Cricetulus griseus: one gene and its partner. The protein of the gene in region 2 binds, or shares a complex with, the protein of the main gene of each other region. Links are inferred from orthologs where the notes say so. Each region holds a gene or a part of one and is shown on either strand. Other genes may lie near its edges.

What was found.
Region 1: the proteins of Amhr2 (region 2) and Amh are in contact, whole or in part, in a crystal structure (PDB 7L0J), measured with the Homo sapiens proteins. The link is inferred for Cricetulus griseus from reciprocal best matches to the Homo sapiens genes AMHR2 and AMH. Residues at the interface, in NP_065434.1 of Homo sapiens: Gly31, Val32, Arg33, Gly34, Ser35, Thr36, Thr38, Leu39, Phe62, Ile64, Glu75, Met76, Arg80, Asp81, Ser82, Glu84, Pro85, Ser95, Arg97, Ala98, Pro100, Ser101, Leu106, Thr108; in NP_000470.3 of Homo sapiens: Leu471, Arg472, Glu474, Val477, Leu478, Ile479, Pro480, Glu481, Thr482, Tyr483, Gln484, Lys534, Leu535, Ile537, Leu539, Glu542, Arg543, Ile544, Ser545, Ala546.

What each region holds. Positions count from the first base shown.
Region 1 is NC_048598.1:101,586,321-101,590,764, forward strand, and holds Amh (muellerian-inhibiting factor), read left to right. Parts: upstream 1-1,456; 5' UTR 1,457-1,641; coding exon 1,642-2,053; intron 2,054-2,411; coding exon 2,412-2,554; intron 2,555-2,735; coding exon 2,736-2,844; intron 2,845-2,930; coding exon 2,931-3,090; intron 3,091-3,200; coding exon 3,201-4,050; 3' UTR 4,051-4,125; downstream 4,126-4,444. Other genes in the region: Sf3a2 (splicing factor 3A subunit 2), read left to right, coding at 1-114, 206-274, 358-1,200. UniProt on the Homo sapiens protein: Plays an important role in several reproductive functions. Induces Muellerian duct regression during male fetal sexual differentiation. Also plays a role in Leydig cell differentiation and function.
Region 2 is NC_048595.1:398,821,579-398,826,176, reverse strand, and holds the start of Amhr2 (anti-Muellerian hormone type-2 receptor), read right to left. Parts: upstream 2,982-4,598; coding exon 2,933-2,981; exon of another isoform or gene 2,640-2,932; coding exon 2,457-2,639; intron 2,240-2,456; coding exon 2,048-2,239; intron 1,801-2,047; coding exon 1,729-1,800; intron 1,527-1,728; coding exon 1,414-1,526; intron 1,300-1,413; coding exon 1,069-1,299; intron 1-1,068. UniProt on the Homo sapiens protein: On ligand binding, forms a receptor complex consisting of two type II and two type I transmembrane serine/threonine kinases.

The DNA of each region.
Region 1 (4,444 bases), on a different chromosome or scaffold from region 2:
ATCATGCCACGCCACCGCTTCATGTCTGCCTATGAGCAGAGGATAGAGCCCCCAGACCGCCGCTGGCAGTACCTACTCATGGCTGCTGAGCCCTATGAGACCATTGCCTTCAAGGTAGTGACCCTGAGGACTGGAGGAGAAAGATAAATTCAGGTTTGTCTGTTTGTATTGGTCCCAGGGTGCAGCCTCTGCTTCCCTCCCCCAGGTGCCAAGCCGGGAGATTGACAAGGCTGAGGGCAAATTCTGGACCCACTGGAACCGAGAGACCAAGCAGGTAAGGTGTGGCAAGACTTGCCTGGGTACTCCCCTACCCCCACCCCCCCTGCTCCTCCAGCCTCTGACCCTCCTCCCCTGCAGTTTTTTCTTCAGTTCCACTTTAAAATGGAAAAGCCACCGGCCCCACCCAGTCTCCCAGCTGGACCCCCAGGCGTCAAGCGGCCCCCACCCCCACTCATGAATGGCCTGCCTCCTCGCCCTCCACTGCCGGATGCCTTGCCCCCACCTCCGCCTGGTGGCCTGCCTTTGCCCCCTATGCCCCCCACAGGGCCTACTCCCGCTGGGCCCCCTGGACCTCCCCAGATGCCTCCACCAGCTCCTGGGGTCCATCCACCAGCCCCAGTAGTCCATCCACCCACATCTGGGGTCCATCCTCCAGCCCCTGGGGTACACCCCTCAGCCCCTGGGGTACACCCACAAACATCTGGGGTGCACCCACCAGCCCCTGGGGTGCACCCACCAGCCCCTGGAGTGCACCCACCAGCCCCTGGGGTGCACCCTCCAGCCCCTGGGGTGCACCCACCAGCCCCTGGAGTGCACCCACCAGCCCCAGGTGTGCACCCACCAGCTCCAGGTGTGCACCCACCAGCTCCAGGTGTGCACCCACCAGCTCCAGGGGTCCACCCTCCCCCATCAGCTGGAGTTCATCCTCAGGCTCCAGGAGTACATCCACCTACTCCTGCAGTTCACCCTCAGGCCCCTGGGGTGCACCCCCCAGCTCCTGGTATCCACCCTCAGGCTCCTGGGGTGCATCCCCAGCCTCCTCCTGGGGTCCATCCTGCCACCCCTGTGGTCCACCCTCAGCCTCCAGGGGTTCACCCCTCAAATCCTGGTGTGCACCCAGCTCCTATGCCCCCCATGCTAAGGCCCCCACTCCCATCAGATGGCCCTGGGAGCATGCCTCCTCCTCCCCCAGGCAACTGAACACTGGCCCCAGCATCCCTTGCTGCCTGTGTGTGGCCTTTTCCTGGCCAGTCCTTGGAAAAGTTTTCTGTTTTGTCCTGTCCTGAGCCCATTAAACAGCCTCCCCCATGTCTCCCTGTCTGCAGTGTGTGTCTGTGGTGGGGGGTATGGGCGGGTGCTGTGTGCCTTCATTGAAGGCATGATGACCTGTGAGTCCTCCAGGTGGACTCCCTAGGCAGATGGGAACTACCCAAGGACAGTTCTAGCCTCTGCAGTTGTGGGCCTGGCTGTGAGGACAGAAAACCCTTTGAGAAAGCCACCTCCCACCTGCTGTGCACACAGGGCACCAGGCACTGTCCCCCAAGGTCACCTCCACCTCCGGAGTTGATAGGGGTGTCCCTCCCAAGCACTCTGGCTCAGCCAAACATATAAGCAGGGCCTCCCAGCCCTTGTTGCTCTACCATGCAGGGACCACCCCTCTCTCCACTAGTGCTGCTGCTGGTGACCATGGGCACTGTGTTACAGGCCAAGACCCTCAAAGAAGACCTCAAAAGAGCCACCAGCACCAGGGGCCTCATCTTCTTTGAAGATGGGATCTGGCCTCTCAGCAGTCCCCCAGAGCCCTTGTGCCTGGTGACACTGAGAGGCTTGAGGAACACAAGCAGAGCCCCGCTAAGGGTGGTAGGGGGCCTGGACAGTTATGAGCATTCCTTCCTGGAGGCTGTACAGGAGTCTCACTGGGGACCCCAAGACCTGGCCACCTTCGGAGTCTGCAGTCCTGACTCCCAGGCTATCCTGCCAGCCCTGCAGCGCCTTGGGGCCTGGCTGGGGGAGACTGGGGGGCAGCAGTTGCTGGTCTTGCATCTGGCTGAAGGTACGTGATGGACCCTGTTCAGCCCCCCTGTGTCTTGGGCCTCTTACTACTACCCGAGGCTCCTCCCAAGGTCTGGGGAGAGGCTGTGAGAAATCCTGTTGCTTGGCTGCAAGGCAGAGCCTTGTACACTTGTGGGTGAGCTGCAGTGGACAGAATGCCAGTCATCACTCCTTCCCTGACAGGGAAGCAAGGTCCTCACCTCACACCTTGGATCAGGGTCCTTCAGGCCTGCATGGCCTCAGGAGATCTTTATACACCCCAGTTAGGTTCCAGCTGAGGAAACCTGTAGGACAGACAGGTCTTGAGGGATGGAAACTAGTGTCCACAGACTGACTTGTCACCAATATTCGTTCCATAGTGAAATGGGAGCCCACGCTCTTACTGAAGTTCCAAGAGCCTCCACATGGGGGAGACAGCAGCTGGGAGCAGGCCTTGCTGGTGCTATACCCTGGACCTGGCCCCCAGGTCACAGTCACAGGGGCTGGACTGCAGGGCACACAGGTACCTGAGAGTGGCATGGGGCCATCCCTGAACAGCCATCTGGTTGGGGTGTATAAAGATCTGCCTAACAGAAGGGTCCCTAGGGTCAAGAGTGTCTCTGGGAGTCTTCTCCCAGTATGGGAGGGTGCTGCCTGGTAGCCTGGCCATCCTGGTCAGTCCAGCTGAGCCCCGGTATCCACAGAACCTCTGCCCTACTCGAGACACCCGGTATTTGGTGCTGGCTGTGGACTCTCCAGCGGGGGCCTGGAGCGGCCCCGGCCTCGCCCTAACCCTTCAGCCACTCAGAGAAGGTAGGAACAGGAGGAAGTGAGGAGTGTGTGCAAAGAGGCTGCCCTTAGCCCTGGCCCTCAGCCAGCCTCGTGCCCACCCTCCGCAGGTGCCGCCCTGAGCATCACCCAGTTGCAGGCCTTTCTGTTCGGCTCTGACTCTCGCTGTTTCACACGCATGACCCCAACCCTGCTGTTGCTGCCACCCGTCCCACCATCACTGCAGCCAGCGCATGGCCAGCTGGACACCATGCCCTTCCCGCCACTCAGGTATGCACAGGGCTGGAGCAGGGAATGCACTGGGAAGAGGGCGGAAGAGGGATGTATCCGCCACACCCTCTTGTGCTCACGGCTGGCCCACTGCGTTCCTTCTATTCCAGGCTGTCCCTGGAGCCAGAGGAGCTGCCACACAGCACTGATCCCTTCCTAGAGACCCTCACTCGCTTGGTACGTGCCCTACGGGGACCCCCGACCCGGGCCTCACATACACATCTGGCCCTGGACCCTGGGGCGCTGGCCAGCTTCCCACAGGGCCTTGTCAACCTGTCAGACCCCACTGCACTGGAACGCCTGCTCGATGGGGAGGAACCACTGCTCCTGCTGTTGTCTCCCGCTGCGGCCACCATGGGGGAACCCACCCCGCTGCAGGACCCTGCCTCTGCTCCGTGGGCAGCCGGCCTGGCACGCAGGGTGTCCGTGGAGCTGCAGGCAGCTGCCTCAGAGCTGCGGGGCCTCCCGGGCCTGCCACCCGCTGCGCCCCCGCTGCTATCGCGCCTACTGGCACTGTGCCCCAACGACACCCACAGCCCCGGGGACCCGTTGCGCGCGCTGCTGCTGCTGAAGGCGCTGCAGGGCCTGCGTGCAGAGTGGCGTGGGCGGGAAGGGCGCGGGAGGGCGGGGCGCAGCGCAGGGACAGGGACAGAGGGGCCATGCGCACTGCGTGAGCTGAGCGTAGACTTGCGCGCAGAGCGGTCCGTGCTCATCCCCGAGACCTACCAGGCCAACAACTGCCAAGGCGCCTGCACGTGGCCACAGTCCGACCGCAACCCTCGGTATGGGAACCACGTGGTGCTCCTGCTGAAGATGCAGGCTCGCGGGGCCGCTCTGGGGCGCCTGCCCTGCTGTGTGCCCACTGCCTATGCTGGCAAGCTGCTCATCAGCCTGTCCGAGGAGCGCATCAGCGCGCACCATGTGCCCAATATGGTGGCCACTGAGTGTGGCTGCCGGTGACGCTCGCCTTGCCTCCAGTCAGTTCTCCAATAAAGATCAGCAAACACTCAGCTGGGGTGTCTGCGGGTGAAGGGACCTCCTGTCACCTCCCTTCTCAAGTGCAAGACCTGTGCACACTCTCTCTCTCTCTCTCTCTCTCTCTCTCTCTCTCTCTCTCTCTCACACACACACACACACACACACACACACACACCCCAGTGAGGAAGCTCTCTGTCCCCATCACGATTCCTTTTTTGAGACAGGGTTTCTCTGTGTAGCCCATGCTGTCATGAACTCGCTCTGTAGAACTGGCAGACCTCCAAAGCTAAATAAAGAGACTCTGCCTCAAGGGCGGGGGGGCTAGAGAAATAGCTCAGCAGTAGTAAAGGCCACTTGCACATCCCAATACACACAC
Region 2 (4,598 bases):
GGGTTTAATTTCCAGTACCTGAATAGCAGCTCATCTGAAACTGCAGCCCCGGGAGATCTGGTGTCCTCTCCAGGCATGCACTCGGTGTAAAGCATAATATATGCATGTGAAACAATAAATTTTTGTTTGTTTTTTGAGTCAGGTTTCTCTGTGTAGTCCTGGCTGTCCTGGAACTCACTCTGTAGACCAGACTGGTCTCAAACTCACAGAGATCCATCTGCCTCTTATACACATAATTTTTTGAAATTTATTATTATAGAAAGGGGGAGTCTTTGGGAGCACATGCTATAGTGCGTGTGTGGGGGTCAGAGAACAACTTTGTGCAGTTCTCTCTTTCTATTTTTGCTTGGGTTCTGGGGACTGAACTCAGATCCCCAAGGCTTGCACAGCAAGCATCATAGCTGAGCCATCTCACCATCCCTCAGGGCAAATCTTTCTGTTTGTTTTTCGAGACAGCGTTTCTCTGTAGCTTTGGAGGCTGTCCTGGAATTCACTCTGTAGACCAGGCTGGTCTCGAACTCACAGAGATCCTTCTGACTCTGCCTCCCGAGTGCTGGGATTAAAGGCATGTGCCGTTACCACCTGGCTTTTTTTTTTTTTTAAGAAGTTTATATTTATTTTTATTGGTGTTTTGCCTGCATGTATGTCTGTGTAAGGGTGTAAGAAATCCTGGAACTGGAGTAACAGACAGGTGTGAGCTGCCACATGGATTCTGGGAATTGAACCCAGGTCCTCTGGAAGAGCAGACAGTGCTCTTAACCACTGAGCCATCTCTCCAGCCTGCCATATTGTTTATAAATATTGGTTAAATAAACACATGAATGAGTTGGACAGCTGTGGTTGGATATTATTTATCCAGTGGCTCATATTTAACAGTGGCTCATTTCTAGCTGGGCAGTGGTGGCACACAGGACAGGCTCCAAAGCAATATAGAGAAACCCTGTCTCGAAAAACAAAACAACAAACAACAAAAAACCCAACAGTGTCCTAAGGAAGGCACGAAGCACCTCACTTCCATGAGCACAAAAATAGGCATAGTGCACATTACCGACATTTCTTGGTGCTCACCTTAGGGTACAGTTCCAGTACCAGTAAAGGCCCAGAGGGCAGGGGGCCAGGACCCCCCTGGCCAGCAGTGATAAAGCGTACAATGTGGTTGTGCTGTAGGCCTGGCAACTGGTACACAGCTCTCTCAGCTCGGAACTGGGCCACAGCCCTTGGGGGGAAGGCCTTGATGGCTACCATCTCACCCTGTAGCCTCCCGGCCCACACGACTGCGTGACCTCCTTCTTGGATTACCTGGTGGAAACACTGCACTGAGTGCGGACCTCTGAGCTAGCATCAGAACCAGGCTTCCTCCCCAGCAGAACCTCCAAGAGTACCAGAGAAACCCACCCTCCTTTTATGAAGCACCTGGGAGAAGCACAGCTCATTCAGCTCTGGCAATTCCTCACTGCAGTCTCCGCCTGAGACTGGCTCCGGGTCTGACCCACCGTTCACTGCACAGGTCTTTCGTTGTAGCAGGGCTGAAGCAGAGAAGAGCCTTAGGGTAGGGTGCACAGGATGGAGGCAGCCAAGGAGGCTATGTGGGAAGAGAGCTTCATACAATGAAATGGGTTACAGAGATCCCAAAACTGGTGGTGGGGGGCGTCTGCAGAGCCTGAAGAAGGCTTGGAGCTTTGGGGAAGAGCCTTGCTATCACAAGGGAGGGGTGGGAGAGATTAGTACCCAAGATGATGCTGCCCAGTAGCAGCACGAGGAACATTCCCAGCAGCAGCAGTGCCATCCAGATGGGCCCACCTGGACAGCAAGGCAAGAAGACACGTGGGTGAGCACTGAACCTCTCCCCTCTTCAAAGAGATTGCTTTCCAAACCACCCCCATGCTGGTCACAAGCCCCCTTATCTCCCAGTCGCCAGGGCAACCAACTTCCCAAGGCCAGGAGGAGGGAAACTTTGGGTGGGAGTGGGCTGAGAACTGGCCCTGGTTCTCATCCTGACCTATGCTCCTACCCTTTCTGAGCTTAGTACCCTAGGGAAGGCAACTACCTGTGGTAGGCTGGGGATCCTGGGGGCCAGGCGCCCCTTGGTTCCCTGAAGGAGGCAGATGGCTGTAATTGGCATTGCAGAAGTCACTGCCACAAGAACATGTGAGGAGAGTGGAGATGGGGCTTGGGTGGGCTCGGGGGACTGGGTCACAGTGGAGGGACTCACAGCCTGGCTCATCACTGTCTCGGCATCCTGGTGGGATGGGATTGGGGGACGGAGGAAAAGGAGAGAGAGTACAATGATGTTGGGAGGCAGAAAGCACATCCCTTCTCTATCAAAGGCATCCCTCCGACATGCTTTTCTCCCATCTACACACTCCGCTTCTCCCTTTCCTCTTGGCTGCCTCCCTCAACTTGGACATGCCTCTCCTCTACCCTAGCTCTCACCCACCATATATTTTGCCATTCACCTTGCATCTCCACACGTGCCCGTCCATGGGTCAGGTTCCAGATGCCAAAGCAGCAATGGCTGTAGAGGCAGCGGATACTCTTAGGGGGTCCTGGTCTTTCATCTAGCACTTCCCCCAGTGTCTTTGCGCTTCCTCGTACTCCAGGAGCCTCAAAGAACACACAGGTCCTACTGTTTGGGGTTACTGAAATCAAAGGTGAAGAAAGGGGAGTCAAGAAGGGAGTAAAGTCAGGGGACAAACAGCAGCCAAAAGGATAAACAAAATAGGAGCCCAGGGTCAGGATGGCAGAGGCACAAGGAAACAGTCAGCAGAGGCCTGAGGCCTGATCCCCCATGGGAACAAGTGGCTCTGCCCTTCATCTTTACTCACCCAGCCCACTGACCTCTTCCTCTTCCAAAGGGGTAGCTGCTGCTTCAAGTATACCTTTCCCCTTATTGGATTGTGTTAAGACCCTGCCTGTATCTGTAGACACTTACCTTGTGCAACTGCAGGAAGCAATGTCCAAAGCCCCAGTGTCCCCAGCATCCTGCTAAAGGATGGCAGCTGGACAGCACAAACCAGCACAGCTACTCCATCCAAGGATTCCTACTGATACAGGGCACTGTAGGGCTTCCAAACTCCGCCCCCCTCTGTCCTATCCCAGTTTCTGTGGGGGAGAAGGCAGCTGTGGGGGAGAAAACAGGGAGAGAAAGGGAGGAGCAGAGAACCAATCTCATATCCTTTCTTCAACCACCTCCTCTTTTCTCTGTAGAGTGGGAGGAAGGGACCTTGGCTGCCTGGCTGAGAACCCTGTGATAACTTCAAAATCTCTACTCATCACTGACCTTGGGAGAAGGTGCTGGACCTTCAGCCTTTCCCAGGAAGATGTCAAATGTTTGGAGCCACTCAGTTCTGCCCAAGACCCTTCCTAACCCACTATTGAGAGACTGGATACGTAGCATTCTGAATAGAAGAAGACTCACAGTCCATATTACAGTAGTTCTCACTTTCCAAACTCGAATCAGAATGAATATGAAAATTTTCAGATCTAAAAAAAAAAAAAAATAGGCAGGAGGCAGAGGCTTTCACAGAGAAACCCTGTCTCAAAAATCAAAACAACAACAAAATCACACTGTAGGACTGGTGAGATGGTGCAATGGGTCAAAAGTACTAGACACTCTTTTATATATATATATATATTTTTTTTTTTCCTGAAAACAAACTTGTTTATACAGACAAGTCATGAGGGCCATCCCGGGAAGCTCCCGCAGTAGTCGAGGATCAATGTACTCTGGGGCTGGATCTGCCCAGGACAAATGCAACTACGGCCCAGGTGGTGATGATGCTGCAGACTTTTAACAGGCAGGTGATGTTGGAGGAATGTTTCCAGTAGCAGTATAGGGAGACCTGCAGGGTTGGGTGGCTCCTGTACTCCTTCAAGACACTACAGGCATCCTTAAACTTATTGGTCAGGAGCAGAAACTGGTTTGGGGTGAACCGCCTGACATCCAACCTGCAAAGATATTGGAACTCACAGTAGACCTGATGCTCGGTGACCCCAGGCCCTCTTGACGGTGAGGATGAGTGCAGGAGGCCAGATACTGGGGTAATCTGGGCCAGAAAGATTAATTTTAGGAACCCCAGCTCTGATAAGATTCACTTGGTTCACATAGTGCTCCAGCACATCCAGGTATGTGAGGTGAGCTCGTCCACAGAACCATCACCATGCACCCTCTCCAGGAGCAAGTGTGCTACTTTCAAGAGAACTGACCCGCAGAGGAAGGCATTGTATCCGGCTTCATGGGGGCACTTGGTCTCAGCATATTTCTCACACTCGCTTGCATGGATAATCTCTGGTCCAGAATTGTTAGTGGCATTCAAGTCACTGCTCAGCACATCATACACTTACTTCTGAGAGGTTGGAGGCTTGTAGGAAATGCATTTCCTTCCAGATGTCTTCTGTCACATTCTTGGTGTCGATGATGACAGGAAATAGGCTGTGGATGTTCTGCTTAAACTCATCGTAGCTTTCTGGAAGAGGTTTGAAGAACTTCTCAAGGAGATGCAGTAGGTCCATCATCATATTGTGTCCTACCAGAGACTTCTGGGCTCTCACCAACATCTTGATAAAGCCCGAAAAGCCCCTTGCAGAGAGCAGAATCT